Macaca fascicularis: one gene and its partners. The protein of the gene in region 1 purifies or fractionates together with the protein of each later gene. This does not show direct contact. Links are inferred from orthologs where the notes say so. Each region holds a gene or a part of one and is shown on either strand. Other genes may lie near its edges.

Evidence for each region.
Region 2: the proteins of DERL2 (region 1) and SERPINA1 purify together in Homo sapiens (affinity purification with western blotting; 3 studies listed by BioGRID). This does not show direct contact. The link is inferred for Macaca fascicularis from reciprocal best matches to the Homo sapiens genes DERL2 and SERPINA1.
Region 3: the proteins of DERL2 (region 1) and SELENOS purify together in Homo sapiens (affinity purification with western blotting; 3 studies listed by BioGRID and IntAct, with this or other methods). This does not show direct contact. The link is inferred for Macaca fascicularis from reciprocal best matches to the Homo sapiens genes DERL2 and SELENOS.

The regions. Positions count from the first base shown.
Region 1 is NC_088390.1:5,538,609-5,548,824, forward strand, and holds the end of DERL2 (derlin-2), read right to left. Parts: intron 9,485-10,216; coding exon 9,289-9,484; intron 9,047-9,288; coding exon 8,956-9,046; intron 6,927-8,955; exon of another isoform or gene 6,775-6,926; intron 3,784-6,774; coding exon 3,678-3,783; 3' UTR 302-3,677; downstream 1-301.
Region 2 is NC_088381.1:162,403,260-162,414,094, reverse strand, and holds the end of SERPINA1 (alpha-1-antitrypsin), read left to right. Parts: intron 1-2,024; coding exon 2,025-2,674; intron 2,675-3,995; coding exon 3,996-4,266; intron 4,267-5,488; coding exon 5,489-5,636; intron 5,637-6,482; coding exon 6,483-6,674; 3' UTR 6,675-6,750; downstream 6,751-10,835.
Region 3 is NC_088381.1:86,540,544-86,551,932, reverse strand, and holds the start of SELENOS (selenoprotein S), read left to right. Parts: upstream 1-6,107; 5' UTR 6,108-6,250; intron 6,251-6,310; exon of another isoform or gene 6,311-6,347; coding exon of another isoform or gene 6,348-6,626; intron 6,627-11,389. Other genes in the region: PCSK6 (proprotein convertase subtilisin/kexin type 6), read left to right, coding at 6,348-6,626. UniProt on the Homo sapiens protein: Involved in the degradation process of misfolded endoplasmic reticulum (ER) luminal proteins. Participates in the transfer of misfolded proteins from the ER to the cytosol, where they are destroyed by the proteasome in a ubiquitin-dependent manner.

The DNA of each region.
Region 1 (10,216 bases):
ATGTAGATACTGACAACCTAATAACTATTCAAAGAATATCCTGGTTCTTCCTCCAAAAGATGAAGTGTCAGATACATTTCATTTTTAACTTCTTTGGGATGGTCTGTGGACTTAGCTGGTCTGATCATGACCATACCAGCTGGTGGTCACCTTTGCTTTTCTGACCACCAAATCACGGCCCTTGATCATGTTCAGTTTCCCTCTATCCCATTTTCAGAGACAACCACAAGCTTCAGCAACTAGGCTCAAGCTTGCATGCATACACTTTAATCCCTGTATAATTAAAAATACCAGATAATACTTTGCTGATCAATAAACAAAGGTATTTATTCAGCACCCATGTGCCAAGCACTGTGCTAGGCACTGTGGTGGATACAAAAATTAAGACATGGTCCCTGCCCTTAAGGAGCTTACATTCTCATGAGGGAGACAAGACTAATATACATGTACCAGCTAGGAACAGTACAAGACAATATGTAATTTGGCGTAAGAATATGTCATACAGACTTGAAGCTTTATAGGGATTCAGAGACAGACAATAAAATTGGCCTTAGAGTCAAGATTTTTTGAGCAATCAGGAACAAGGCCAGGCCTGGAAGAACTGAAGAGACTTAAGTTGAGGTCCCTGTTAGGTAGAAGTGGAAGTAAAGTTAAGAAAAAAACAAGTATGCATATAATATAGGGGCTTACTAAGAAGTCACTGTGGATTTCTGAGCAGAGGAGTGACTTGATCATACAAGATTCAACAATTTTATTGCAAACTCATAAAATATGTTTAAGTAGTCTGGAGACATCCTACAGAACACAGAAAATAATGGCAGGATCATGACTAACAACATAGCTGGAACTCACCTGTCAAAGAAAAACAGCTACAACATAAAACCCTGGCAGGATAGATGACAATAGTTCTAGGAAGCCCATTACTCAACATGGCAATAGCTCCAATGCTTCCTTATTTTCAGAGGCCCCAGAGACAGAGGGTTTCATTATCCAGACCCAGGACTTGGGTGTTCTGCTTCTAGAGACTACACAAGAGGTATGAAAGATAAGAGGACATACAAGAGTGACACAGAAAAAAACAAATGGAAGAGAGAAACAAATAGAAATCCATACTAGAAAAAATGCACCGAAATGTATATAAAATGTATCTCCTAAGGAGATGCAATTTGTATGTCCATTTATTTTTAAATGAACGTATACCATGTTTCCATAACAAACAAACAAAAAACACTATGCTTTAGTCAAGTGTGCTTTTCAGTATTACTGGAAGAATCCAGGAATCCCTCAAATTATGTGTAAGGTTAGTTGGTCACAAAATTCTATGTATCAAATCTCACTTTTAGTTTATTTGCATTGGGAAAGGGAAGTGTGTTCTGGAAGAACTAAGATTGAGAGAGGTAAATTGGGGGGAAAGTAAGGACTTTTCCTTATGTCCATTCCAGCACAGGTATCCTCTCAAGCAACACAGGGCTAGGCATGGTGGTTGTAGGGCTGGCCAAACTGATGAGAGGTGACACTGCTCAGGACACAGTGTAGTCGCACAGCAGGGCATCCTACCACTGGGAACTTGCACCCTATAAAATCAGAGAAACCAAAAAACCCTGTAACTGCCTGCCTTTAGGCTGTATATTCAAAACGTACTTCCTGTTTTACCCAGTCATTAACGTATACAGATATTCCCTACTTAAATGAACAGTGAGTGAATAGATTTTAGGATCAGCATTTTACCACAAAAATGCCATTCATTGCATAACTCAACTCAGGGAGAACAAATAAAACTAGAGAAACTCATTTCTAGCCCAAAAACAATTTAAAAAAACAAAAAACAAAACAAACGTCACTGATAAAGCATTCTTGAGCAAAAACAAGAGGATAAAACTTAAGAATCCCGTAAGGATTATACATGCTAAGACTGGCTTTTAAACTTTAAAAACCTTTTTTAAACTGCTTAAAGAAAAAGCAGTCCCATAGACCCAGGTTCCATAAAATTGCAACAATCATATTCAAAGTTACTAGCAACATGTAAAATACTTAAATTCCATTAGTTACGCAATTCCATTTAAAGACATTAAAACACTTTTCACTTCAAAAACAATCTGAAAATTCCTATTTAGGATGTCCGTTATGTTTAAGCCTATATCTGTCTTTCTGAGGACAATCTCACATTCTGGAAAGCTACCCCTTAACAAAGGTTGAACTACTACTAACAGTCCACTTTTGGGAAAGGGACTGGTGCATACACACTGTTAATGAAAGCTGTTTGGAATCATCTCTTTCCTAGCGGTGCTCTTCCAGGTTCTGTGAGTTACTTAAGCAGTGTGAATGCAAACCTGCTGAGACTCAGGGAAGACTTAATACTTAGGGGAGGTATTTATTGAACCACAGCATTAAGTGTCTACTTCTGCGGACCCTGTCTTAAGTTCTACCTGATTGGGAAGGTAATCTAGGTACTTGGTTCTGAAAAGGTTCTTGAATTTTCATGAAGCAAATCACTAATGTTACCTAGCCAAAGACCCTGGAAGAACATGTGCCTGGCTAACTGGTATCGGTTCATCTGGCTCCAAAGTCAACATTCTAACTTGTTTTCTAAATCGAATGAAAATCTGAGACCCTGTCTCTATTTTTTTTTAATTAAAAAAAAAAAAAAGGCAAAAAAAATTTTTTTAAAAGGCTGGGTGGCTCATGCCTGTAATCCTAGCACTTTGGGAGGCTGAGGTGGGAGGATTTCTTGAGTCCAGGAGTTCAAGACCAGCCTGGGCAACACAGTGAGACCCCATCTCTATTAAAAAAAAAATTTTTTTTAATTAAAACTTTTTTAAAAAGAAAAGAAAAAAAAAAAGTCTAATGAAAATCTTCCTAGTTTTCCAAAAATGTGGCCCTTAGCAATCTTTCCCTGGATACTTCTTAATGGAGAAATGTAAGCAAAGCAAATAAGATGCCACATTAGCTTACAGCTGACTTTCCTATAGCTGAATTCCTACTGCTACAAGAAGCATCCTCCCTCCTTTTTTTCCACGTTGTCTGACAGTTTTGCAAAACCCAGATGGAAACAACCTATCCAGATGACAGAAATAAATCATCTTCCTGGTGAATCTTGCATTCTGAATTAGTAAGATGTACACAACCACAGCATGACAGCCACGTATTTCCAATCCTGAAATGAAATCCAGTTAAAAGTTGTGAAGACACAGAAGAACAGCTGTGTAAACTGTTCTGAGCTCAGATCTACGCAGGAGAGCTACAATACATTATCAGAATTTAAAAGATCACACACAAAAGCTTTAATACAGTGAGAGAAAAATGGAATTCAGTTTTATTGTGTCCTCTCTGAAACTTCCATTTACACCATGGCCTCATCTATCAAGAGGAAGAAAAGGCCCTGCCTTATACCATAAAAATCAAGTACTCATGTACTTGTTGGAGGTGGCAGGATATTTGTTTCTCCAGTTTTTTGGCTCCGAGAAATTACACTTTCAGTACCAGCATAGTGAGGAACCACTGGCAAACTGTTGGAAATGTCTTCTGGATTAGTCAGTGTACCATTTCATAAAGTGCTTCTGGAGTTAAAATCTGCCAAGCTGTCAAAAGTGTCCACACTTTTGCAACAAAGGATAAAAGAATCCCAGTGGGTATCACTGAGTCCTTCCCAGCTGGGTCTCATTATTGGCACTGCTGCTTTAACCTCCAAGGCGCTGGCCCTCACCCCAGGCGAAGCCTCCTGGCCGTTCTTCAGGTAGTGGATTGTAATTTGGATCCTCATCTGGTGTATCAAAAATAGCTTTCCTAAAAGACAGGCAACAGATATAATTTGGTCCCAGAGTCATCTCAGGTCCAAAGTACTACAAGGTCAGTTCAGGTCCCACAGGGTTTCCACCCATAGGTAAGCACTACACCCGCCTGCCAATTAAACAGTCAACATATTGTAAGAGCATCTATAATTATTAACATTTACATTAGCTTTTATCTTTCACTGATTTTTACTAGAAAAGCAACTCAAATCATAATAATTATAGAGAAGGAGAAAACAAGAGATTAGCAAAATATCCTAAATTCCCAGAGGTAACTATTGTCAATGTTTCAGTTATTCTTTGGGAACTTTTACATTATGTAATTTTACAAAAGTTAGATCACACTACTTTTGTAAGCTGACTTTCACATATTTATCATTAATGTCTCCCCATAACCAAGGTATCACCCAAGTGTCCATCAACAGGTGAATGAACAAAATATGGTACATACATATTACAGAATTTTTTTTTTTTTTTGAGATGGGGTCTCGCTCTGTTGCCCAGGCTGGAGTGCCGTGGTGCGATCTCGGCTCACTGCAACCTCTACCTCCTGGGTTCAAGCAATTCTCCTGCCTCAATCTCCCGAGTAGCTGGGATTACAGACACCCGCCACCATGCCCAACTAATTTTTGTATTTTTAGGAGGGACGAGGTTTCATCGTGTTGGCCAGACTGGTCTCGAACTCCTGAACTCAGGTGATCTGCCCACCTCGGCGTCCCAAAATGCTGGGATTACAGGCATGAGCTACTGTACCTGGTCAACATGGTAAAACCCTGTCTCCACCAAAAATACAAAAATTAGCCTGGCACGGTGAGGCAGGAGAATCGCTTGAACCTGGGAGGAACAGGTTACAGTGAGCTGAGATTGCTCCATTGCACTCCAGCCTGGCAACAGAGCAAGACTGTCTCAAAAAAAAAAAGGAAGGAAATTCAGACACATGGTACAACATGGATGAACCTTGAGGACTTTACACTAAATGAAATATGAAATAAGCCAGACAAAAAAGGACAAATATTGTATGATTCCACTTATGAGGTACATAGAGTAGTCAAATTCAGAGAAACAAAACAGAATGGTGGTGGCTGGGGTGGCGAGTTGTTTAATGAGTACAGAGTTGCAGTTCTGCAGGATGAAGAGAGTTCTATGGATGGTGGTGATGGCAGCAAAATAGTATGAATATACTTAATGCCACTGAACATTTAAAATGAGTTAAGATGGTGAATTTTATGTTAGGTATTATTTTACTACAAAAGTTTTGAAAAATTCACAAGGTATCCCAAGAAAAATTACTGCAGAACATAGGAGGGGATAGTAAATGTCCAAAAGACTCTCTAAGTACTAGGATGTAGTAATTCAAAACCTCACTAAAGAAGGAACCATTAAAGCAGCATCCTCAATTTGCACTTATATTTCTACTTGTAATCCCCCACAGTTGATAAAATTAGAAATGTATTTGAAAACTTCTAATTTATACTGGAGTCAGAAAAACTATACTTCAAAATGAGTTTTTAAAATTCTTATGAATTAACAATAAAAACAAACCAACAGAAAAAAATGGGCAAAGGGCTGAATAGACAATTCAAAAAGGAAATCCATGTGGTCAATAAACGTGAGAATGTTTGCTCTCACAATAATCAAAGGAAAGTACATTAGAAACTGAGATCCCGGCCAGGCGTGGTGGCTCATGCCTGTAATCCCAGCACTTTGGGAGGCCGATCACCTGAGGTCAGGAGTTCAAGACCAGCCTGACCAACATGGCGAAACCCCATCTCTACTAAAAATACAAAATTAGCCAGGTGTCGTAGTGCATGCCTGTAATCCCAGCTACTCAGGAGGCTGATGCAGGAGAATCACTTGAACCTGGGAGGCGAAGGTTGCAGTGAGCCGAGACTGAGCCTCTGAACTCAAGCCTGGGCAACAGAGTGAGAATCCTTAGCAATGACAACAAAAACAAAACTGAGACCCCTTCTACTGCCCAAACATTAGCAGGATGGGGGTGGGGGCACAGCCTGGTATAGGGAGTCAAGAGCCCCATCAGACCATGCACACATGGAGGTGGCCCGACGAGATGTTAGCCTGAGTAGGGTGGGGAGGCATCCCCGTAAGAGGGCAGCCTGGTCTGGGGAATCTGAGGGTGAGTGAGACGAGCAAGGCATCCATATGGGGGAGGTGGAGACTATCACAAAAGACTGGTTACATATGAGGGGTAATTAGGTAGGTAAAACATTAATCATAATAAGAATCAGGTTAGGACAGATGGAAAGGGCAGATGGAAAGCAGTGGTACATTCACACAACCAAATAATACTCAGCAATAAAAAGGAACAAATTACCAATAAATACAAGAACACAGATGAGTCTCAAAAACATTATGTTGAATGAGAGAAGCCTTTTACCAAAGAGTACATGCATACTGTACGATTCTACTCATGAAGCTGCACAACATGAAAAACTAATCTATAGAGGAACAAAATCAGAATAGCAATTGCTTCTTGGGGGACAGGTGCAATGACTGACAAGGAAGGATATCAGGGAACGTTCTGATTGATGGTAATTTTCTGTCTTGATAGATACACAGAAGTGTGCATTTATAGAAACTCAGTTGACATACTCAAGATTTATTTTGTTGCACATAAATACTGAACTCTAGTTACTGATATGCATACTCAAGTATACAAGGAATTAAGTATACATATAATGGCACATACATTTTGGATTGGAAAGCTAGATGTAGGGATAGGTGTGCAAAAAGAATAGGGAACTATTAATTACAGAATCTATGTGGTGGCTACATGAAGCTCACTCCAATTTTTTTCTGATTTCCTATAAGTTTGGAAATTTTCATAATAAAATACTGGAGGAAACAAATAGGAAAAAAGCTAGAACGAACCATGAGGTAGTACTAGAAATGGGAGTATAGTATAAACCCATGTTTTTAAAAATACATAGATCTAAAAATATACATTTGTATACATTATCATACATACATACAATTCCACTGCTCTGTTCACTGAGAGGATCTGGGAATAGCAACACTCCAATAGCAATGAGCACATCTAGCACCCAGATCTTGGCTTCTAAATACCATTCTCCACTTTAAAGGAACCAGGGCTCCTTGAAGAAACAGCTGATTCTAGGACTGGATCAAGGAGAGCACAGGATGAGCCTGGTATATCTTGTTGTGCCAGAAAACAATTGCAAAAAATAAAACAAAATAAAAAGTGGGCTGTAGTGGCTCACACCTGTAATCTCAGTGCTTTGGTAGGCCAAGAGACAGGAGGATCACCTGAGGACTGGAGTTTGAGACTAGTCTGGGCAACATAGAGAGACCTCGTCTCCACAAAAAAAAATATTTAAGAAAGAAAATAAGCAGAGGTTGGTGGTGTGCACCTGTAGTCCCAGCTACTCAGGAGGCTGAGGCGGGAAGATCACTTGAGCCCAGGGGTTTGAGTTAACAGTGTGCTATTATCATACCACTGCACTCCAGTCTGGACAATGGAGTGAGACCCTATACTGCATATGTAATTTCCTGGAGGACTGAAATTGTTTCAAAACATTTTTTAAAAATCATAAACAATGAGACATCATCCTATAACTATTCAACTAGGAAAGGGTAAATAAAATGTCTCCCTTGTTTGATGAGGATGTGCAGAAATGAACAGTTATAAATGCTAGTTGAAATGTAAACTTGAACATCCATTCTGGAAGGCGTTTGGCAACAAAATAGCAATTCCACTTCTAGGAATTATCTTTTGAAAATAATCATGGATGTGTGCAGAGATTTAGCTACAAGGATATTCACCACTCCAATTATAGACGAGAAAACCGAGCACTAATGTCAATGTCCATCAATAAGGGATTAGTAAAATTATGCCATATCCACACCATGGAATATCACCTGTTATAATTTTATAACACTTTAGGATGGAAAAAACAATTCTGACATATTAAGTTTACAAGGTTACAAAAATTGTTTTTTGAGACAGGGTGCCACTCTGTCCCTCAGCCCAAAGTGCAGTGGTGCGATCTTGGCTCACTGCAGCCTCAACCCCTCTGGGCTCGAGCAATCCTTCCACCTCAACCTCTCAAGTAGCTGGGATTACAAGCATGTGCCACCATTTGCAGCTTTTGTAGAGATGGGGTTTTGCCACGTTGCCCAGGCTGGTCTCAAACTCCTGAGCTCAAGTGATCCATCTGCCTTCGCCTCTCAAAGTGCTGGGATTACAGGAATGTGTTATGTTGTCCAGGCTGGAATGCAGTGGCTATGTTAAAGGCCTGGCCCAAGAAGAGCAGTGGCTATTCACAGGCTCAGTCATAGTGCACTATGGCCTTGACTGGCTCAGCGTTTTTTAGAAAGTACAGACAGTAAAGACTGAAGAATACACACTGAAAAGTTAACAATGATAGCCACTGCTATACCCAAGTGTGGACAATTTCAGTTTCTTCTTTTTGCTTAACTAGTCTACAACAAACATTTTAAAACAAAAACTCACATTTCACTTCTCAATTGAGCCCTTTTTAATATGGCATCTCCCAAGGATACCAAATTCCAGAGTAGAAAGAGGTCTCATAAATCAAAGTTCTACTGCACTCCAGCCTAGGTGACAGAACGAGACCCCATGTTTAAAAAAGAAAGAAAGAAAGAAATCAAAGTTCTACCTCAGGAAACTGAATTGCAAAAAAGAAGGGACTTGCTCTATGGCTGGTCAGTGGGACAGCTACACCTGGTTTCCAGTCCAAAGCTATTTGCACTCTGCTTCACTTCTTATCTCAACCACCTGCTCAGCAGGCCACAAAGTCCACCATCAGAAACTTTCATCAGTTTTGCCCATTTTGCTACCTTACTTCACTAAACGTGGACAGTGGCTTTCATAAAACCAGCAGGCTCCTCCTGGAATAGGAAGTTCTAGTGGTCATCTGGAACAACGATTACCAGGTTACTCCCAAGATATCCTGAGCCTGTTAACCTTGCTCTTGCCACAACCCTGGCACTGTCTGCTCCTACCCAATCCAAGTGCTCTTCAACTGCAGCCAGACTGCTCAATCTGCAAATAGTTACTGACCTGAACTATGTGTACTAGGAGCTAGGGGAGCCGAAGAAAACACAGATCATGCCCTCTGTCCTGGTTTGCCTGTAAGAGTATGTAACCTGGTGTTAAAATACTCACAAAATAGATGGTGTTTTCAGAATTCTTATTCCACCAGGCTGATTGGGAAATACATCTTCCAAGAAAAAATAAATGTGTCCAACTGCAATACCTAGAGTCAAGCAGAAATAAAGGATGAGGGAGAGAATTAAAATTTAGATGGCAGGTAGACCTACCAACATAAATCGACTACATTTAGGATGAATGTCAACATAATTATTAAAAATTAATGAACTAATATTGTAGTATTTTACAATAGGTAATACATGAAGGCCAAACAGAATAAACATGAAAAATAGTGGTAAAATACTTTTACAGGTAAAATGACTTAAAAAATAGTGAGAAGAGCCTTACCCAAAAGGTCCACAATGATTGAGTTCCCCAACAACAAGGAAAAGCCCATGAGCACCCAGGGCAGAAAGGGGGCCTGGAAGTTGAGAAGGCCGAAGAAGTTCATGCGGACATAGGGGTTCCTTCGGCTCCACACGTAGACGAGCATTATTGTAAAGGCCTGGCCCAAGAAAACTAAGCTCACAAACAGACCAAAAAGCTAGCAGATGACATTAAGGAAAATATCAACATGAAAAGTTTAATAGGGAAGACTGAGCAGGAGAACTAAAGATTGTGTTCTAACAAAAGTTTGAATTGGAAAAGTCAAGTTGTTACATCTTTAGAACAGAAGGAAAAAAACCCAGAAAATAATTACCCAGAGCAATCAGGCAAAAATCTGCTTAGGCTAAATTATTGAGATTTACAGCTACTTCAAACAAATAATTCTGCTTTCGTGAAGTTTCTTGCCTCTTTGGAAAATGTGTTAATTCTTCGTTCAATAATTATATTAAAGCTTGCTCACAATTAGCACCTTTACAGAGGTGAATAAAGCTAGCTGGAATAAAACCATCTTGTCGGACCGTACCATATCTAAGTCTATTGTGCAGATGAAAATTCTTTTTCTGAAAAATAATTTATTGGTTTTGAAAGCCACCAAGTAAATGTCTTACCAACTTAGTTTAAAAGTGAAGTACGCCAAGCAGCAATGATATAACTGAGATGCTTAACAGGAACCCACCTGGGTTAAAAGTTCCTGTGACTTGCTCTTCCTGTCCGACTGCTAGGCTTGGAAACTTGTCACAGAAAATGTGCTGTAAAATAAATGATAGCGCCCTGAAGCTAAGATCTGGAGATCTACTTTTATCTGTTTGTTCCGAATATCTAGAGAATTGTGGGAGACAGATGACAAGTTTTAGGAAGAGCCAGGGTGTTCTTCAACATTTTCCCGTAG
Region 2 (10,835 bases), on another chromosome or scaffold:
TGGGGAGAGTGAGGCCCCAGGACCAGGGGATGCTTACTCAAGGCCAAATGGATAGTGGTGGCCCTGCCAGGACTAAAGCCACAACTTCTGGCCCTAAGGCCACTCAGCGTATTTAGTGTCCCCACCCTGCAGAGGCCCAACTCCCTCCTGACCTCTGAGCCCTGTAATGATGGGGGAATTTCCATAAACCGTGAAGGACTGCACAAAATCCAGCTGGGAAGTGAAAGAGAAACCTAAGGGAGATGGAAATATACAGCACTAATTTTAGCACCGTCTTCAGTTCTAACAACACTAGCTAGTTGAAGAAAAATACAAACATGTATTATGTAGTGTGTGGTCCGTTCCATTTGGATTACTTAGAGGCAAGAGGGCCAGGAGAAAGGTGGTAGAGAGAAACCAGCTTTAGGCTTCATTTTGTTGCTTTACTGGAAAGAAACTTTTAACAGTCCAGGGGTCAATGAATCTCAATATTTGTTATTTCCAACTTTTTTCTCCAGTGTTTCATTTCCCAAATTCAAGGACACCTTTTTCTTTGTATTTTGTTAAGATGATGATTTTACTTTTGTGACTAGTAGTTAACTATGTGGCTGCCAGGCATATTCTCCTCAGCTAGGACCTCAGTTTTCCCATCTGTGTAGACAGCAGGTTCTACTTAGGGGGCTGCAGATTGATGGTCCGAAGTCTGGGCATATCTGGAGTAGAAGGAGCACTGTGGGGCATGGCAGGCTCTGCGTTGCTGTGGATGACACTGACTCTGACCATTGCTCAGCAGAGCCTGCTCTCGCCGGTTCAGCCACAGGCCCCACCACTCCCTATTGTCTCAGCCCCAGCTATGAAACATGTATTCCTCACTGGACTATCACCTGAAGGCTTTGAATTTGCAACACCTGTCAACCCCTCCCTCAAAAGGGTTGCCCTCTCAGATCCTTTTGATGTAAGGTTTGGTGTCTAGACTTATTTCACTAAATTCTTCCAACAGCCTCACTTCATGTATGAGGCAAAATGAGGACCAGGGAGATAAATGACGTGTCCTGGCTCATACACCTGGAAAGTGACAGAGTCAGATTAGATCCCAGGTCTATCTGAAGCTAAAAGAGATGCTTTTTCACTTCCCACCACCCCCATCTCCTTAAAGCAGCACAAAGCCTTGCTTCACAGGAGAGATGAGCTTCTCTAAAGTCCCTGACAGCAAGAGCCCAGAACTGGGACACCATTGGTGATCCAGATGGCAGGTGAGCTGACTGCAGGGACATCAGCCTATTCTTGTGGCTGGGACCACAGAGCATTGTGGGGACAGCCCCCTCTCTTAGGAAAAAACCCTAAGGGCTGAGGATCCTTGTGAGTGTTGGGGGGGAACAGCTCCCAGGGGATTTAATCACAGCCCCACCATGCTCTAGCTGGTGCCATTGTGCAAGATGCATTTCCCTTCTGTGCAGCAGTGTCCCTGGCCACTCAACAGTGGGATTAGATAGAAGCCCTCCAAGGGCTTCTAGCTTGACGTGATTCTTCATTCTGATCTGGCCCGATTCCTGGATAATCGTGGCCAGGCCCATTCCTCTTCTTATGCCTCATTTGCTTCTTTTGTAAAACAGTGGCTGTACCACTTGCATCTTAGGGTCATTGCAGATGTAAGTGGAGCTGTCCAGAGCCTGGGCGCAGGACCTAGATGTAGGATTCTGGTTCTGCTACTTTACTTCCTCAGTGACATTGAATAGGTGACCTAATCTCTCTGGTTTTGGTTTCTTCATCTGAAAAAGAAGGATAGTAGCATCAGCACCTCACAGGATTGTTACAAGAAAGCAATGAGTTAACACATGTGCGCACGTAGAACAGTGCTTGGCATATGGTAAGCACTACATACATTTTGCTATTCTTCTGATTCTTTCAGTGTTACTGATGTCAGCAAGTACTTGGCACAGGCTGGTTTAATAAGCCTTAGGCACTTCCACGTGGTGTCAATCCCGGGTCACTGGGAGTCATCATGTGCCCTGACTCGGGGCCTGGCCCCCGTCTCTGTCTTGCAGGACAATGCCATCTTCTGTCTCATGGGGCGTCCTCCTGCTGGCAGGCCTGTGCTGCCTGCTCCCCGGCTCTCTGGCTGAGGATCCCCAGGGAGATGCTGCCCAGAAGACGGATACATCCCTCCATGATCAGGACCACCCAACCCTCAACAAGATCACCCCCAGCCTGGCTGAGTTCGGCTTCAGCCTATACCGCCAGCTGGCACACCAGTCCAACAGCACCAATATCTTCTTCTCCCCAGTGAGCATCGCTACAGCCTTTGCAATGCTCTCCCTGGGGACCAAGGCTGACACTCACAGTGAAATCCTGGAGGGCCTGAATTTCAACGTCACGGAGATTCCGGAGGCTCAGGTCCATGAAGGCTTCCAGGAACTCCTCCATACCCTCAACAAGCCAGACAGCCAGCTCCAGCTGACCACCGGCAACGGCCTGTTCCTCAACAAGAGCCTGAAGGTAGTGGATAAGTTTTTGGAGGATGTCAAAAAACTGTACCACTCAGAAGCCTTCTCTGTCAACTTTGAGGACACCGAAGAGGCCAAGAAACAGATCAACAATTACGTGGAGAAGGAAACTCAAGGGAAAATTGTGGATTTGGTCAAGGAGCTTGACAGAGACACAGTTTTTGCTCTGGTGAATTACATCTTCTTTAAAGGTAAGGTTGCAAAACCAGCCTGAGCTGTTCCCATAGAAACAACCAAAAATATTCTCAAACCATCATCTCTTGAACTCTCCTTGGCAATGCATTATGGGCTATAGAAATGCATGTCAGTGTGGGCTCTTCAATTTTCTACACACAAACACTAAAATGTTTTCCATCATTGAGTAATTTGAGGGAATAATAGATTAAATTGTCAAAACCACTGACAGCTCTGCAGAACTTTCCAGAGCCTTTAATGTCCTTGTGTGTACTGTATATGTAGAATATATAATGCTTAGAACTATAGAACAAATTGTAATATACTGCATATAGGGATAGTTTCATGGAACGTACTTTAGACGACTCTAGTGTCCCAGAATCAGTATCAGTTTTGCAGTCTGAAAGACCTGGGTTCAAATCCTGCCTCTACCACTATTAGCTTTTGACACCGAACAATGCATTCTACCTCCTTGAGGTGCTAATTTCCCATCTTAGCATGGACAAAATACCATTCTTGCTGTCAGGTTTTTTTTAGGATTAAACAAGTGACAAACACCTTGGGAAAAGTGTGGCATGCAGTAGGTGGTGGGCTCTTCTGTATCTCAGGCTGCCTTCCTGCCCCTGAGGGGTGCTCTTGAGGCAAAGGAGGGCAGTGGAGAGCAGCCAGGCTGCAGTCAGCACAACTGGGGTCCTGGCTCTGCTGTGGCTTAGGGCAGGCCCCGGTCCCTCTCCAGCCCCAGTCTCCTCCTTCTGTCCAATGAGAAAGCTGGGATCGGGGTCCCTGAGGCCCCTGTCCACTCTGCATGCCTCGATGGTGAAGCTCTCTTGGCATGGCAGAGGGGAGGCTGCTCAGGCATCTGCATTTCCCCTGCCAATCCAGGGGATAAAGAAAACCCTCAGGAATAGTAAGCAGAATGTTTGCCCTGAATGAATAACTGAGCTGCCAATTAACAAGAGGCAGGGAGCCTTAGACAGGAGGTAACAAATATGCCTGATGCTCCAACATTTTATTTGTAATATCCAAGACACCCTCAAATAAACATACGATTCCAATAAAATGCACAGTCAGGATGGCATCTCTTAGCCTTACATCTCTGCGATGTAGAAATTCTGCATCTTCCTCTAGTTTTGAATTATCTCCACACAGACCTTTTTGGCAGCCTGGATGGTTGGTTTCAGCACCTTTTGCAGATGATGAAGCTGAGGCTTGAGGGATGTGTGTCGTCAAGGGGGTTCAGGGCTTCTCAGGGAGGGGACTGATGGCTCCTTTATTCTGCCACACTCTTCCAAACCTTCACCCACCCCTACTGATGCCCGCCTTACCCTCTCTGTCCAGGCAAATGGGAGAGACCCTTTGACGTTGAGGCCACCAAGGAAGAGGACTTCCACGTGGACCAGGCGACCACCGTGAAGGTGCCCATGATGAGGCGTTTAGGCATGTTTAACATCTACCACTGTGAGAAGCTGTCCAGCTGGGTGCTGCTGATGAAATACCTGGGCAATGCCACCGCCATCTTCTTCCTGCCTGATGAGGGGAAACTGCAGCACCTGGAAAATGAACTCACCCATGATATCATCACCAAGTTCCTGGAAAATGAAAATAGCAGGTGATTCCCCAACCTGAGGGTGACCAAGAAGCTGCCCACACCTCTTCTGAGGCCCATCAGAACTGACCAGAGGGTCGGAGAGGGTGAACACTACATCCCTGGGTCACTGCTACTCTGCATAAACTTGGCTTCCAGAATGAGGCCACCACTGAGTTCAGGTGGCACCGGCCATGCTCCATGAGCAGGACAGTACCCAGGGGTGAGGAGGTAAAGGTCTCGTCCTTGGGGACTTCCCACTCCAGCGTGGACACTGTCCCTTCCCAATATCCAGTGCCCAGGACAGGGACAGCAGCACCACCACACGTTCTGGCAGAACCAAAAGGGAACAGATGGGCTTCCTGGCAAAGGCAGTAGTGGAGTGTGGAGTTCAAGGGTAGACTGTCCCTGTGGGGATGGGGGAAGAGCCTGTGTGGCTAGGCCCAGAAAAGCAAGGTTCAAAATTGGAATAGCCAGGGCATGTTAGCAAAAGGCTTGAGTTTCTCTGTCACTTTATCGGTGCTGTTAGATTGGGTGCCCTGTAGTAAATGATACTCCAATATGAGTCACACATTAGTGTGTCTGTGTGCATTCGTAATTATGCCCATGCCCTCCTATCTAGTTTATTTTGTACACTGTAAAACCAAGATGAAAATACAAAAGGTGTTGGGTTCATAATAGGAATTGAGGCTGGAATTTCTTTGTTTCACGCCAGCACCTCCTGAGGTCCCTGCTCCAGGGGCTGAGAAAGAACAAGGAGGCTGAGAGGGTAACTGATCAGAGAGCCCAAAGCCAGGCTGCCCGCTCACACCAGACCCTGCTCGGGGCGGCTCTGTCTCCCCATGGAAAACAAGAGGGGAGCACTCAGCCTGGTGTGGTCAGTCTTCTGGTGGCACTGCCACCAGCCCATGTTCCTCTGGGTATAGGGCCCTGGGGATGTTTCAGGCTGGGGGCCCAGTGACCAAACACTACAGGGCAGGATGAGACATGCTTCCAGTACACCTAGAATCTCAGAGGAGGTGGCATTTCAAGCTTTCATGATTCATTTGATGTTAACATTCTTTGACTCAGTGTAGAAGAGCTAATAGTAGAACAAACCAAAGCCAAGTTCCCATGTTAGAGTGGGTGGAGGACACAGGAGTAAGTGGCAGAAATAATCAGAAAAGAAAACACTTGCACTGCGGTGGGTCCCAGAAGAACAAGAGGAATGCTGTGCCATGCCCTGAATTTCTTTTCTGCACGGCAGGTCTGCCAACTTACATTTACCCAGACTGGCCATTACTGGAACCTATGATCTGAAGACAGTCCTGGGCCACCTGGGTATCACTAAGGTCTTCAGCAATGGGGCTGACCTCTCGGGGATCACGGAGGAGGCACCCCTGAAGCTCTCCAAGGTGAGATCACCCTGATGACCCTGTTGCACCCCGGGATCTGTAGGGAAGGATGTATGGGGGCTGCAGTTCTGTCCTGAGGCTGAGGAAGGGGCCAAGGGAAACAAATGAAGACCGAGGCTGAGCTCCTGAGGATGCCCGTGATTCACTGACGCGGGACGTGGTCAGACGGCAAAGCCAGGCAGGGGCCTGCTGTGCTGCTGGCACTTTCAGGGCCTCCCTTGAGGTTGTGTCACCGACCCCGAATTTCATCTTTGCCCAGGACCTTCTAGACGTTGGGCCTTGATTTATCCATATTGACACAGAAAGGTTTGGGCTAAGTTGTTTCAAAGGACTTTGTGACTCCTTCGATCTGTGAGATTTGGTGTCTGAATGAATGAATGATGTCAGCTAAAGATGACTCTTCCTTTGGAAAACTAAAGGTGACCAAAGAACAACTGCAGTTCCGTGAACGGCTGCGTTGTCTTGGGATCTGGGCACTGTGAAGGTCACTGTCAGGGTCCATGTCCTCGAGGAGCTTCAAGCTGTGTGCTAGAAAGGAGAGAGCCCTGGAGACAGGCGTGGAGTGGCGATGCTCTTTCCCCTTCTGAGTTGTGGGTGCACCCTGAGCAGGGGCATAGGCGCTTGTCAGGAAGATAGACAGAGGGGAGCCAGCCCTGTCAGCCAAAGCCTTGAGGAGGAGCAAGGTCTGTGTGACAGGGAGGGAGAGGATGTGCAGGGCCAGGGCTGTGCAGCGGGAGAAAGGCCTGAGTGAACGCTTCCTGGGAGGTGTCCACGTGAGCCTTGCTCCAGGCCTGGGCTGGGGCACAACTCAGCCTTAGAACATGTCTCTGCTTCTCTCCCTTCCAGGCCGTGCATAAGGCTGTGCTGACCATCGATGAGAAAGGGACTGAAGCTGCTGGGGCCATGTTTTTAGAGGCCATACCCATGTCTATTCCCCCCGAGGTCAAGTTCAACAAACCCTTTGTCTTCTTAATGATTGAACAAAATACCAAGTCTCCCCTCTTCATGGGAAAAGTGGTGAATCCCACCCAGAAATAACTGCCTGTCACTCCTCAGCCCCTCCCCTCCATCCCTGGCCCCCTCCCTGAATGACATTAAAGAAGGGTTGAGCTGGTCCCTGCCTGCGTGTGTGACTGCAAACCCCTCCCATGTTGTCTCTGGGTCTTCCTTTGCCTGCTGAGGCCGTGTGTGGGCTCCAGGTCACAGTGCTGTCTCCGGACCCCCTCAACTGTGTTCATGGAGCATCTGGCTGGGCAGGCATATGCTGGGCCAGGATGGAGGGGGCTGAATCCTCAGCTTACGGACCTGGGCCCATCTGTTTCTGGAGAGCTCCAGTCTTCCTTGTCCTGTCTTGGAGTCCCTAATAAGGAATCACAGGGGAGGAATCAGATACCAGCCCATGACCCCAGGCTCCTCCAAGCATCTTCATGTCCCCCTGCTCATCCCCCACTCCCCGCCACCCAGAGTTCCTCATCCTGCCAGGGCTGCCTGTGCCCACCCCAAGGCTGCCCTCCTGGGAGCCCGAGAACTGCCTGACCATGCCCTAGCCCTGTTTTGTGGCATCTGCAACAACAAAAGAGAGAGGACCGTGTCCTCTTCTTGTCCCACTGTCACCTAACCAGGCTTGGGCCCGGCGCCTCTTGGGCACTTCTGGAAAACAACTGAAGCAGATTCCTCCTGAAGCCCATTCTCCATGGGGCGACAAGGACACCTATTCTGCCCTTGTCCTTCCATCGCTGCCCCATAAAGCCTCACATGTCTCAGTTTAGAATCAGGTCCCTTCTCCTCAGATGAAGAGGAGGGTCTCTGCTTCTTTTTCTCTATCTCCTCCTCAGACTCAACCAGGCCCAGCAGTCCCCACAAGACCATTACCCTATATCCCTTCTCCTCCCTAGTCATGTGGCCATAGGCCTGCTGATGGCTCACGAAGGCCATCGCAAGGATTCCCCAGCTATGGGAGAGGAAGCACAGCACCCACTGACCCCTGCAACCCCTCTCTTTCTCCCCTGAGTCCTGACTGGGGCCACATGCAGCCTGACTTCTTTGTGCCTGTTGCTGTCCCTGCAGTCTTCAGAGGGCAGCCGCAGCTCCAGTGCCATGGAAGGAGGCTGTTCCGGAATAGCCCTTGTGGTAAGGGCCAGGAGAGTCCTTCCATCCTCCAAGGCTCTGCTAAAGGGCACAGCAGCCAGGAGGTCCCCTGAGCCCCCAGCTGAAGGACAGGCTGCTCCCTCTGTCTCTACCAGGAATTGCCTTGTCCTGTGGAAGGCACTGACCCATCCCAAACTAATCTTGGAATCCCTGTCTAATCACTCACTGTCATGAATGTGTGCTTAAAGGATGAGGTTGAGTCAAACCAAATAGTGATTTTTGTAGTTCAAAATGGTGAAATTAGCAATTCAACATGATTCAGCCTAATCAATGGATACCAACTGTTTCCCACACAAGTCTCCTGTTCTCTTAAGCTTACTCAGTGACAGCCTTTCACTCTCCACAAATACATTAAAGATATGACCGTCACCAAGCCTCCTAGGATGACACCAGACCTGAGAGTCTGAAGACCGGTATCCCCCTGTCAGCTGTGTGACCTTCATGAAGTCGCCAAACCTTTCTGAGCCACAGCCGTGGCCAGTAAGACCTGCCTTTGAGCTGGTACGATGTTCAAGTCAGATAATAAAACACCGTTTACACCTATTAGAGCAGAGAATAAATAGAGCTACATTTCTTGCATTTATGAGCTTTCTGTGAATCAGACATCCCTGTGAAGAACCTCCCTGGCTATTTCTCATTTAAGAACTGTAGCAGCACTGTGATGTGTGAGTAGATCCGCTGTGCTCTTAAACTCCAAATCTACATATGAGGAAACTGAGGCTCAGAGAGGCTGCTGGTCTCCCACAATGTCACATAGTTCATAAGTGGCAAAGCTGGCTTGATGGGCTACTCGTTCCTCTGAACCACACCACCTCACCACACTCTCCCCTTCGAGGGTCATGCTAAACTTCTGCAGAGCTAATTCCTCCTTAAACCATAAGGGTTGCTGGTGGCCCACAGCTCACGCCTAGCATGCTTCATGAGAAAAACACCCTCCACCCAATGTGGAGCAGGCCCTGAGCTGAAGGTGGTGAGCAGAAGCTCATCCACCAGATGTTGACACAGCCCGCGGCCTTGGGCGACCCACAGGACTCCTCTTATTTAACTGGCATTTGGTAGGAGAACAGGGGCAGAGTCAAAGACAAGTGGGCTTTCCGGAGCAGCCAGGACAGGGAAGGAGGCTGCAGTGCTGAGGGCATCACCTTAGACACCATCGTTTTACTTTGAAGAATCGTCTGTCACACACGAGTTGACAGTCCGGTTGGGAGAGACTCCATTCAAACCAGCATAAGCTCCCAGAGGAATTCCTGGGCTCCTGTGGGAATCAACAGGGATCAGTCAGGGGTGGGCAGAGTGTCATGACAACCTCATTAGGAGGAAGACAAATACATGTCACAAGTCCATGAGGCAACAGCCATAAGACCTCAGCTTCACTGTATCTTCCAGAGTTTTTTAAAAAATGCATTCACTGTCTAATGTGATCCTCCAGACAGGTCCTGCAGGACTCAGCCTAGGAATCATTATCCCCAAAGTACACATGGGGAAACTGAGGCCCAGCAGGTCAAATGCTCTGTCCAGTGTGGGCCTGGAAGGCAGGACTTCTCTGCTCTTAGGCCTGGCTGTCCCCAACTGCACACACTTCCTCAGTCCATATGGGATCACGATAAAAACTCCATCCTCCAGAACCGCACTGCGTCAACCTGCTGTGCTCTAACAACAGCTGAAGGCCGAGCTGCGGGGCATCCTGGGTGTTCCGAGTCAGTTTCCCACTGCAGGCAGGAACCTCATCCTGCTCTGAAACAGATGAGAGGGAAACACGGAAAACAGCTGCGAGCTCAGCCGGGAACCTCAGAGTCATGACCTTTTACCCCACCTAGGAGTTTGCAGGGGACAGAACACACGAATTTGAGATTTTAAGCCTAAACAAAGGAAGCCTTGGTTTGAAGTGCAAGCTCTGCCAGACAGAGGGCACCCTGTGAGCCCCATTTGTTAAGAGGACGATAGTCAGGGAGCTTCTAGGTTCTCACACCAGAAATGGGAAATACAGATTATACATTGATCTCCTTCCCAGGAGCAACTTGATCCTCCCATAAATCCGAGCAGGCAGCATTTATTCAAACAACAAACAAGCAAACAGGAGCTGCGTATGGGGGATAGAGAGATGAAACCCAGGTCCGTCCCTGGGAGAGTGCTGATCTACGGCGGTGGGGAACGGTGAATAAACGAGGCGTGCGTCCATGGATCTGGGTGGAGAGGGTCAGGGTGCAGCCCGGGACCTTTCCAGAGGCATAAGAAATGGTCAGTATACACCCGCAGATGACCTCAAACACCCCAAGGGCTCCTTGAAAGGCTGAGGCCTTTGTGTTGTTCTTGGTTGGAAAATTCACAGGCAGTGGAGTGAACAAGGCACACGGCAGGACTCAGAGCCAGGGACAGCTTCTGCAGGAACCCGGCTCAGTTCTAAAAGGACAAATGGAATGACCCTGAGTAAAGAAGTCAGAGAAGGGCACCCTCACTGAGGCAAACTCCCTCCCCAGCAGGGACCCAGCAGCAACCCAAAAAAGCAGGAGTCTCACTTCATCATCATATGGGAGAGGGCAGGCTGTGTGATCTCAGGGAAGTTCCTCAACTTCTCTGTGCCATAGTTTCCTCATCTGCAAAATGTAAATCGAATTTGAGGTCTCGATGAAATGTCTTATTTCTCTAAAGTCCCTTGTCCTTGTCCCATGCAGCCTAGAAATCTTCCTCTGGCCTAGTTGTGGAGCCAAGGATAGACCGGGCCTGAATCTCACATTGCTGGAGATGGTGAAGCTGACCAGCATGAGAGGTCAGGTTTTAGAAGCCCAAATCCCAGCAGGCATAAGCCTCACCCTCCAATATCAGCTTTATCAGAAACAAAAAAATAACATGTCATATCCATTTGCCCTTTTCCTTAAATGAGTGGCACTTGGGCAGGGCAGAGGGGCTGATTATCCAAGCTGGGAAGACGCTGACAGCAGATGCTTCAATGGCAGTCTAGGAGTTTTCTGATAACTGTCATTGGTATCACACTTACTATTGAAATCGTGACATCAGGAATGATGAAAGGAACTAGAGTCACATGGTCTGGAG
Region 3 (11,389 bases), on another chromosome or scaffold:
GCCCAGCAGGTCCCCCGCAATGTCCATTTTCCCATGATGTATTTCTACACTCAGCTTCTCCAAACCAGACTTTTGTAGAAAGGGATAACCTGCCAGCTCTTCTCCTCTGCTTGTCACTGCGAAGACCCCACTCCCATCCCGTCTTCTGCTTTGCTCTCCTTGCCGGGACTAGGGAGGAAGCCCCAGCTCCCAATTCACTCTCACTTGGGAAGAGCACTTAGGCCACAAACCTGAAACCCACCCTGGAGCCAAGGGGTGTCTTCGCACAGGAAAAAGCCATACCCCACTGCTGGGCTTGTGTACAGTACAACTCCATCCTTGCACTGCCAGGCGTGAAGGCAGGAAGGTGGGGTAAGTCAGAGTCACCGCTGCTTAGGTTGATTTGTGTTGTTATTTAATTTATGGGACACATTAATTCTAAATAAAACTTGAGCCTTCCTTCCCCTTCCCTCTTGTTCTTCCCTTCCTTTGTTCTTCCCCTCCTCCCTTCCCTTTCCCCATTTTCCCTCCTTCCTTACCTCCCTTCCTTTCTACTTTTCGACAAATACTTGCTTAGACTCTGCTGTGTGCCTAAGAAAATCTATATGAAGGTGATACAACAGAAACAGAGGAAGAGGTGGACCCCCAAGGAACTCACCCAGCAGCCTCCACAGTACTGCCCCTTGCTAACAGCATCCTGGTTTTGCTCAATCTGGGGCAGCAATGTGCTCAGGGAGTGTTCCCCAGGAGAAGAGGTAAGACTGTTTGAAAGCAACCTGAGCCTCCCTGCTCACCCTGTCTATGATTACCTGGCAGCAGGCGGGGGGGAGGGCTGTGACCCAGATCTGGTAGGTGGGGCCTGAGAGGAAGTGGACTGGAGATTTAGGTGCTTCTTCCCCAGGGAGAAGAAGACATTCAAGAGATGGAAAGTCGCTCCTGTGCTTCTTCCCTGGAGGCTGTATTGAGAGGATATGATCCTCCGATCTGTGGCAGTCACCTAAGAATAGGAGAAAGGCAAGTAAAGTATAGAAAAGCTATCTTGAGTCCCGGCATCACTGAGCTGCTGAATTAACAACCCTGGATCCACCTACTACCAAATTCTTGTTTGCAAAATAATGAATTGTCCTTATTGTCCACATTCATTTCAGTTGGGCATTCTCATATTTTGTAACCAAAGGCATCTTACCTACTGCAGCGAAGCAGAAATAAAGAACTATGATTTTTCTGTCACATGTGGCTCTGAGCCTCCCAGATGCTGAGGTGAAAAGGGAAACGAGATGAATGCCAAGCTCTCATTCTTAGTCAGGAAGAGCTTCTCAGGGAGTTTCAGCTTTTTTGCCCCTAAATTCTTTGTTTGACACTAAATTTCCACATGGGAGTTTAGGAAAGGAACACTGGGATACATAATTGCTAGACCCAGGGTAACTGATTCACAGAAGAAGCAGTTTTCAAGGGCTCTTTCTTAAGAGAACTAGGATCTAGATATAGAGAGTTTAAGCAGAGAGGAGAGTCAAGTGGGAGCTGCTCCATGCCCTCCCCACCCCAGATGGTCACATGAATGAGCAGATACTGAAGAGACCACTGAGAAACTGTGAACACCGAGCAGAAGGCAGAGCCCAGAAGGACGCAGAGCGTGGAGCTGCAGGGGAGCAAAAGCCCCTGACCCACCACTGCTAGGGGCAGCAGCTGTGAGTGGGATGTGGAGTGAGTAAAAAGGAGGGCAAAGAAAAGTGTGAAAGGGAGAGAAGAGGACCTGGCTGGGGAAACCCCTGGTTTGTAGAAACCTGGGCAAGGGTAAAGGTTTCTCGGGGATGGCGGAAGGGGGCTGGTGGGAGGCAGAGGTCTAGTCTGCCCTGGGCTCTCCATGTCTCAGGCCCATTGGCTGTGTGTGACCTGCATCACACCTTCTGTTCCTGGGGACCGTGGGTGTTTATCTGGGCTCAAGCAGCACTGTCAGGTCTAGGGAATGACTGTAAATCCCATTGGTATCTCGCCTCTGAGTGCTGTCTGGCCCAAAGTATCTGAGGGTTCTCCCGATAGAAATGTGGTATTTGAAAATTCAAATGAGCCAGGCAATTACTTTGAAAAAGCTTTTACCTCGTTGAGGATTCAAAACAGATTTTCATGAAAAATGCTGTACTCTCTGTACCTTTTCTGTAGTATATCAATAGATGCCACACTCACACATACACGGACATAGCAAATATATTTGGAAGAATTCAACAAGCTTCTTTACTGCAATATGTCTTGAAGGCATTAGTATCATATGTCATCAAATCTAAGAGATACCTTCAATTGGAAAATGTGTCGTTATTTAACGTATTACTAAGAAAAGAAAAATGTCCAAGATGGAAAGTCTCACAGGAGATGCCTCCCTAAAGATGGAGCAATGAAAGGCTCCACTGTCGGCTGGGCGTGGCGGCTCACGCCTGTAATCTCAGCACTTTGGGAGGCCAAAGCAGGTGGATCACCTGAGGTCAGGGGTTCGAGACCAGCCTGGCCAACATGGTGAAACCTCATCTCTACTAAAATTACAAAAATTAGCCAGGCATGGCGGTGTGCACCTGTAATCCCAGCTACTTGGGAGGCTGAGACAGGAGAATCACTTGAACCCAGAAGCCGGAGGTTGCAGTGAGCCGAGATCGCACCATTGCATTCTAGCCTGGGTGACAAAAGTGAAACTCTGTCTCAGAAAAAAAGGAAGCTTCGAAGGAAGGAGGGAAGGAGGAAGGGAGGGAGGGACGGAAGGAAGGAAGGAAGGAAGGAAGGAAGGAAGGAAGGAAGGAAGGAAGGAAGGAAGGAAGGAAGGCAGGCAGGCAGGCAGGCAGGCAGGCAGGCAAGAAAAGAAAGACTCCACTGTCAGTACAGAAGAAAATGAGAAATAAACCCGCCATGGAGAGGAACAGCAAGGAATCAACAGGTTTCTATTTTGGCCCTGGCGAGGGGAGAGAGAAATAGGGAGAGATGCCCTGCACTGATCATTAGAACCATAAGCTGGTTCTCATTCTGGGGTCACACCATTCAGCAGATCCCCAAGGAGTTTCAGGAGTTGTGTCCCCAGATCACTGGCAGAAGCAAACACAAACCCTCTCTGAAAGAACTCAATTTCAGCCCAGGCCAGTAGTGATTGCAAAACACTAATTGTGAGATGTTTCTTGATTTGGGGATGTTAAAATGCGAGAAAATGTGCACCCAGGCATAGATGAGGACAGTGAGCCCTCATCCAGAGAAGGTCAGAGTATTCAGCCCTAACTACTCTATCCCACTGGAGAGCTCCTGGTTAGCAGTGGTCACTGTTGCCACTATTTATGGAGTGCTGACTTGGTGCCAGGCTCCGGGTGCCAGGCTCTGCACACATCAGCTCTTGTCGTCCTCACAGCACCTCTGCATGGGGACAGCAGTGTTACTAGTATTTTCAGTAGGGCAAACTGAAGCAACTTTACTGAGGCTGCACATGAGTAAATGACAAAGCTGGGCTTTGAGTCCATGCTCATCTCTGGTATCCTGAAGGTGGTATCCATCAGACATTTTTCAAAGGATGCTACTTTGGCCTGCTGAACCTAGCATTATTGCCAAAAATGCAATTTTTCAGCAAAGCGTCTATTCCCTACACAGAGGTAATTTCTGCATCAAAGTCTGTCTTATCCCACCCTAGAAGGCTGCGCAAAGGCTCTTGCTGTCCAGTGGTCTTGGCTGTATGGGTATTCCTGGGCTCTGGCTGGATAACCCTGTACTTGCTGTAAAGGGATCACTGGTGGGCATGAGAACACATCATTCAATGTCTTCTCCTCTTTTCTGATTTTAGAAGATGTTAGTATAAATATCACAAAACTTCCGAAATATGACCAGGCTCCAATCACCTTTCGGGTCCATGTCCTGTCCCTCCTGAGGCTCAAAGACCTCAATCTAGGGAAGCAGCATCCCGTTCCCTCCCCACAGAGCTATGTAGATCTCGGGGGTCATCTGGAGAGCCAGAGTCTGACTGAGTAATAAATCCCCTCCCTGCAGGACGACTAGCCAAGTTTTATTACAGATCCTATCACAATGAAAAGGGCTGGTACTCCTGTGATTGAGCTAATCCTGTCACCGTGTAAATCAATAGGAAACCCACAGGAGGCGATTTGATTTAGGATGTTCATTTTGGGAAGGTGGTCTTCCTACAACATTGGAGTCAAGATATTGCTAGGGCACTTCCATGACAAATGGAAAGTTCAGCCCAAAAGGACCAGACTTGTTAATAAAATAAATTCAGATCTCTCCAAATAAAAATTCAGATGCATTTTAGTCTCCCTCAGTACATCAGGCTGAATCCCTTAATTTACCACATTATTATGGAAACACCCTTACCTCTGCCTGTCAAAATCACTGACATTGCGGGGGCTCCGTCTTGGGAGACACTAGCTGCTTTATAATTATTTAGCTGATGTGCAGTGTACATTATCTTGAAGCAGGCCATATACTCGAAGAAGAACAGTACCGGATCCAGGATGAATCTGAGGGATATCTGGCCGGCAGGAGAAGGGGAAGAGAGGTAACACATGTTGCCCAGACATACTGCTGCTAGGTGACCATGCAATGCCTCCAACTCTGTCCCCTTGACTCAGGCCAATATCCCTCTTCTACAGGCCAGTTGGCTAGGCAGCCAGGGCCATGTCAGGCAGAGGCAGACTGAGGGTTCTGGGTACTGTTTCTGTCCAACAGGTATGGTGGGTTCTCCTCTAGGGCTGCCAGTTTGCATGAGGGCCTCGTGTCTCTCCATTGGCAGGGGCTGGTGAGCATCCAGTCCATCTGTAGGAGGGACACACAGTGGCTGTCTTCTGCAGCGTGGACAGACCTAGAGTGACTGCCCAAGCAGCGGACCCCACTTGCCAGGGGAACACAGGGAGGTGAAGCTGCATCTAGAGCAGCAAAGGGAAGGCCGTGTGGGACATTGATCTCCAGGTTCCAAGATGGGCCCTTGGCAGGAGCCCTTGTGAACATGCATGTGACTTGTTGGGATGGGGCCTCCCACCACGCCTCCTGTTCTCCCACCTCCATTAGGGGTGACTCACACCTGCAGAAAGGATGAATCATGTGGGTTACGAAACCAAAGGGCTCCTGAGAGCGAGGCTGGAAAGGACCTCGGAAACCATCTATGCAGATCCTGTCCTCTGCCCATCCCCTCTTGCCCCAGCCTCTCAACTCAGGCTGCCAAGCCACAGACTCCAAGTGAATCCTGCACGCTCAACAGGAGACTGCTCCTGGAACTGAGCATCAGAGAAGCAGCTTCCTTCCCACCTCAAGGCCTTCTCGACCTTTTTGTTTTACTTCCTGTATTAAGCAGGCTGATGGCTTGCTTTCTGCAAGTGGGCCAGTGGGACCAATGGGTCCTGGGAGGGATGACAGAAGGGATCTAGCAGCGATCCTTACCCTTCATAATTCCTTGGTCATGGAACATTTCCATACATCTCCAGGGTACTTCAAATCATTATCCACTGGATACCAGGCTGCTCTAGGCAACAGGGGTGAGGATGATTCAACTCACTTTCCCACTGCTGGTCCCAGCTCAGTGGGTGCTTCTAAGAGTGTACATCATCTAGTGAACACCTACCACAAGGCAGGCCCTGGGCTCATAAAAACGAACGTTTATGGACAGCTTATTGTACAGCAAAAGCGGACCTCATCCTCAAATCAGGCCGATGGGGTAGATACCACTGTTCCCCCCATTTTACAGGTGGGGCACCTGCCCTCAGCCAGGACAGTCATTTGCCCAGATGGGCTCTGTGCGGTGGTTTCTCGGGTACATGCTCGTGAGCCCGGCTAATTCGCCACATGCCTTTGCCCTGTTCAACATGCCCCTTCAGCCATGCTGGGTCCTGGGCGATCCAGTGTCTTCCCGGCAGCTTCTTCTCCCTGGGACCCTGCACACTGGCAAGCCCTCTGTCTAGGGAGGCGGGCGAGGCCGCCGGGCGTCTGAGGCCCCGCCAGGTGAGTGCAGCCTCCGGGTGTCCGGCCGGTCTAGGGAACAGGGGACTCACCTGAGACGCCAGGGCCTCCCCGCTCCCAGCAGAACTCGCGGGGCCGAGGCCGCCGCTGGGCCGGTCCTGCGTCCCGAGAGCCCCAAAAGTCGGCGGAGAAGTTCCCCCGGTGGGGGGCGTTTCGGGCCTCCCGGACCGGTCTCGGCCCCGGAGCCCGGCCGCAGGAGCGCGGGCCCGGGGGCGCCGCCGGGCCGCGCGGGCGGGAACGCGCCGCGGCCGCCTCCTCCTCCCTGGCTCCCGCCCGCGGCGGTGGCGGCGGCGGCGCTTCCCCGGCGCGGAGCGGCTTTAAAAGGCGGCACTCCACCCCCCGGCGCACTCGCAGCTCGGGCGCCGCGCGAGCCTGCCGCCGCTATGCCTCCGCGCGCGCTGCCTGCGCCCGGGCCCCGGCCGCCGCCCCGGGCCGCCGCCGCCACCGCCGGCGCAGGGAACGCGGGGGGTGCCGGCGGGCCCTGGCTCCGGCCGCTCGCGCCGCGTCCCTGGCGCTGGCTGCTGCTGCTGGCGCTGCCTGCCGCCTGCTCCGCGCCCCCGCCGCGCCCCGTCTACACCAACCACTGGGCAGTGCAAGTGCTGGGCGGCCCGGCCGAAGCGGACCGCGTGGCCGCGGCGCACGGCTACCTCAACTTGGGCCAGGTGAGTGCGGCCGGCCCCGCGCGCCGAAAACTTTCCCGGCGGCCTCTGGCGCGCGCGAGGGGGCAGCCTCCGCAGTCCTGTCCGCCCGGCCCCGGCGCCGGGCCGCGCGTGGGAAGGCTCCGGGACCGCTTGGGGACTGCAGGCGGCCGGGGCGCCCTGCCGGGGGGGGGTCACCCGGGAGGGCGTGCGCGGGACACTCGGCTGGGGGGACTCGGGGTCCCTCGTGGGCGCCCACGCAGATCCGGCGCGCCGACCGCAAGTACCCGGGCAGTGCCTCCCAACCCTGCGCTCGGAAGTGTGGCCTCAGAAGCTGGGGCGGCGCGGACACCTGCCGGGCTCCGGGGAAGGCTGGGCTGTCTCGGGCGTCGCGCGCCGTCCGCCGCTGGGTCCTGAGCGCCCACCCAGCTCTCCCCCGCGGAGGAGCGGCCCCTCTGCCCCCGACGGGCAGCGCGGGCTCTGGACCCTGTGTGCGCGCCAAGGCGGCCGGCCGCTGCTTGGGTGACATGAGCGTGGCCCGGCGTCTGGGGGACTCGCGCTGCCTCGGTGTCCGCCGCTCCGGAGGTAGATGACCAGGGTGCCTGCACCCTGGAGCCCGGCCGCCGTCGGAGAGGCTTTGGGACAGCGTAGGGCTGGGGGTCCTGGGTTTAAAACCTCTCCAGGAAAGGAGGGAGGGCGCTTTGTTTGTGGGCTCCTGCGGCAGTTCCGATGGCAGAGCGGTGTGACCTTTGGCGAGTCACTTCCCTGACATGCTCCTTTGCAGTTAGTGGCAATGTCTACACTGTTCGGTTGTCGGAAAGATCTAATGTTGCATTGCCACAGAGCCTGGACCGGGGCCTGACCCTTACCGGCCCCCACGGGGCCAGCGAGGAGCCCTCTCAGCCCCGCACCCCACGGGCTTGGCTGTCACCTCTTCTGTCAGTTAGTAAGCAGGCCACACCCTGGGCACAAAGGCGGCATTACCCTCAAAGGACCGCCCGGCGGGTGCCTTTTTCCTGTCTCAACCAGCTACCGGGCTGAGGGGTGGTGAGTTGGGGTTGATCCAGATTTATGGCTCCTGGAGAGGCCATCAGTTTGGGGTCGCACCAGGGGACCTCTCAGTGCAGTTAACAAATCTACAAACTACACACTCAGAGGATTAAGTGAAGTGACAGGGAAGCGCCGACTCATAACTCTAAACCTCAGTGCCAGGCAGTGTTAAATTTAGTTTCATCATTATCCGTGGCAGAAGCCAGCAAGGTGTGGTGGCGTCCCTGATAGAAATGACATTTCTTCTGGATCCCAAGCCCCACGTTGATGTGCTGTTAGGTGTGTGGCCTGCTGGAGGGGTAGATTCTACCATTTGAATGATAGAATCTTCGCAAGGCACGTTCGAGTTTATCTGAAAGAATGCTAGCACATCTTTGGAGACCTTTTAAAAATATGTGTGTGTGTGTATATGTATATATAAAATGTTATATGTATACACATATACATGCACATACATATACACACATGTATATCCATATATATATATATATATATTTTTTTTTTTTTTTAACCACTGAAATCCCTCCAAACATCCTGTGATTTCAGATTTTGCCTTCGAGTAGCACTGACTGCGTTCGTCTCTGTAGTTCCTGACTCTCCCTGGCTGATTGTCCAGGCTGAAGAAGGCGTTCCTCATGTTTGCTTTGTGCCCCTGGCTCCTGCCACACTTTGCTGCTGTGCCCAGGTGGCCCAGCAGTTTGCCTGCAGCTAAAAGTGACTTAAGCTACATGATAAATTACAAAGTGCCTGGGTTTTGGGATCCTAAAATTAAATGAGCAGAATGGAGCTGAAGTTGAGCTGTGAGCTCACACTGCAAGAGAGAGGCAGAGAGGCACAGGTAACTCTCCCCGGAAATATCTGTCTGTGGGAATAGAAATGCCTAACCCTTGGCCATGCCGGCCCTTCGAGACAACCTCTGTCAGACTTGCTGAGTTTTTATGTGCAGCCTGCTCTCCTGATTTTGCTCATGGGAGAGAAGATTCCCTCCGATGCACACTCCCTACCCAGGATATTCTGGGGAGTCAATTGGGGTCTCCCCAGCTCTGTCCAGTGCAGCCAGGATGAATGCCACGCAGCCTGGTCACTCAGGCATGGTGCTGGCAGTGGCACTGTGGTGACATTCACTAACACAGGGATTAGCTGGTTGGGGATAGGAGCTGTCTCAGAGGCTTGTGTGTGATTACTCACGGAGGGCATATTACTCTTTATTCCAAAACAAGCTTTTCTTTCCCCTCTCTAAGTGCACTGCTAATGTGGAAAAGGCCCGGAGCATTTGAGCCTCTACCCACTCAATAAGAACTCTTTGAAAACCTTATTTGCCTTTTTTTCAGCCAGGAGAATTTGTGACTCATAAATAAGATGTAGATATTATTAGCTTTGACTTACAGATGAGTAAATGGGGGTGAAGTAAGCGAAGGAAGCTGTTTGTGTTCACATGGTATGCATATGTCACCTCTGACAGTTCCATCCCCTGCTCAATTTTCTTCTGCTGTATTCTCTGGTCTGAGATCTCCTTTGTGAAACTCTTTCTCCAAGCCCTTAATGGGCAATTAGTGTTATGTTCTGTACTTGCCTGAATCACAGCCCTGGTTTTCTCCCAGATAGTTGCTGTGCTCAAAGTTCTTGCTTGCTTGTTTTACTTTCTTCCATACAACTAATAACTGGTTTCAGTTTATTTTACTTGGTCCAGAGGTAATTTAGACTGGTGGTTATTCACCTTTCTTGAGTCTTGGCTCCCTTTCAACATCTGATAAGGGCTGTGGATCCTCTCCGTTGTAAAATATGCATCCCCAGGGACAAGACAAGATAGCCTCTCTTTGTCCCTGTACTCATCATTCCAGGTAACACCACAGTATTTCAAAGGGAATAAAAATGTGGAAGTGTCCAGTGTCATTATCGGCAGATGACATAACTACATGGATAATCCAAAAGAACCTAGAGATTAACCACTGGAGCTAATAAGGGAGTTGATCAGCAACAGCTACCTGCATGGCAGCACATCTGAGAAGATAAAAGAACCATTCTTCATTCTTGCATAAAAGCTGTAAGATACTTTGAAATAGGTCTTTTAAAAAGGTGAGACTTTTATAGAGAAACATAAAATATTTAGAAGAAGGACTGAGAAAAGAAAGTTTAGGCCGGGTGTGGTGACTCACACCTGTAATCCCAGCACTTTGGGAGGCTGAGACAGGCGGATCACCTGAGGTCGGGAGTTTGAGACCAGCCTGACCAATATGGAGAAACCCTGTCTGTACTAAAAATACAGAAATTAGCCAGGCGTGGTGACACATGCTGGTAATCCCAGCTACTTGGAAGACTGAGGCAAGAGAATCGCTTGAACTCGGGAGGCAGAGGTTGTGGTGAGCCGAGACCGCGCCGTTGCACTCCAGCCTCAGCAATAAGAGTGAAACTCCATCTCAAAAAAAAAAAAAAAAAAAAAAAAGTTTTAAATAAAGGGACAGATGTGTTGTGTTCGTGTATGGGAGAACTTGCTCTCATAGTTGCCCCAATTTAATCTGCAAATTCAATGTAATCTAGTTTAAGCCATGACAAGTTTTAATGTGGAATATGAAATCACGCAAATGAATTATAAAGTTCATATGGAAGAGTAAGGTCCAAGAATACCTCAGACAACTCTGGGAAAGAAGAGGAGGAGGGGAGTTGTGGTAACGACAACAGCTGAACATGGACGCAGTCCATCAATAGAGTCCCCTCAAACCCAAGCATGTGTGGGAACTTGTGCGTGTGAGCTGAAGAGTTATAAATGGATGGGGAAGGATGGGCTATTTACTAAATGGTGCTGGGAGAACAGGCTCTCCCCGTGGAAAAACAATTGGATCCTCACATTACACAACAGTACATTCCAGATGGGATTACTGTTTCTCTGTCAGTAATTTTTATATGTATATAAAACTTTTAGAAAGAAATACAGTGGAATACCTTTGTCACATTGGGAAAGGAGTTCCTCAACAAGTCATGAAAATAAACAAATTTTAAAATGAAGAGATTGATACATTGAGATAAAAATTCTATGTTAACAAAGGCATCATAACAGAGTTAAAAAGCAAGTAATAGACTGGGAAAGTATTTACAATATGTAACAAACAGATTAGTACACAGATTATTTTGAAAACTATAAATCACTCAGAAAAAAAGATACATGCCAGGTAGAAAAATGGGGAAGTTTATGAATAGAGAAGTCAACGAAGAGAAATCCAAATGACCAATAAATATAAGAAATGATGCCCAGCTTCCCTCAAGCTCGCTAGGGGTTATTGGAGCACTGCAATTTAGGCAATGATGAGATACCATTTCACACCTGTCACGTTGCCCGACATGGAAGAGTGTTAGCATCACGTGCTGGCAAGGATATAGAACAATGGGAACTTTCAGATGCTGCTGGTGGAGATTGGTATAGTTTGGAGAGCAATTTGGCAATACACAGTGAGGCTGAACTGCACCGGCAAGTCCACATCTAGACATATCCTGGAAGAACCCTCGCACATGTGCACAAGGAGACTTGTATAAGAATGTCCATGCAGGCATTTTTTAAATGAAGGGAAAACCTACCTTCCTTAAAGTAGAATAGAGAACTAAATCAAAATAGTCACACCACACAAGACTCTACAGTGGTTAGAAATGAATAAAGCAGATCTATATCTACACAGATACATCTCTCAAATAATGTTGAGAGAGAAAAAAGGCAAATTGTAGATGTCCAATGTGATCATATTCAT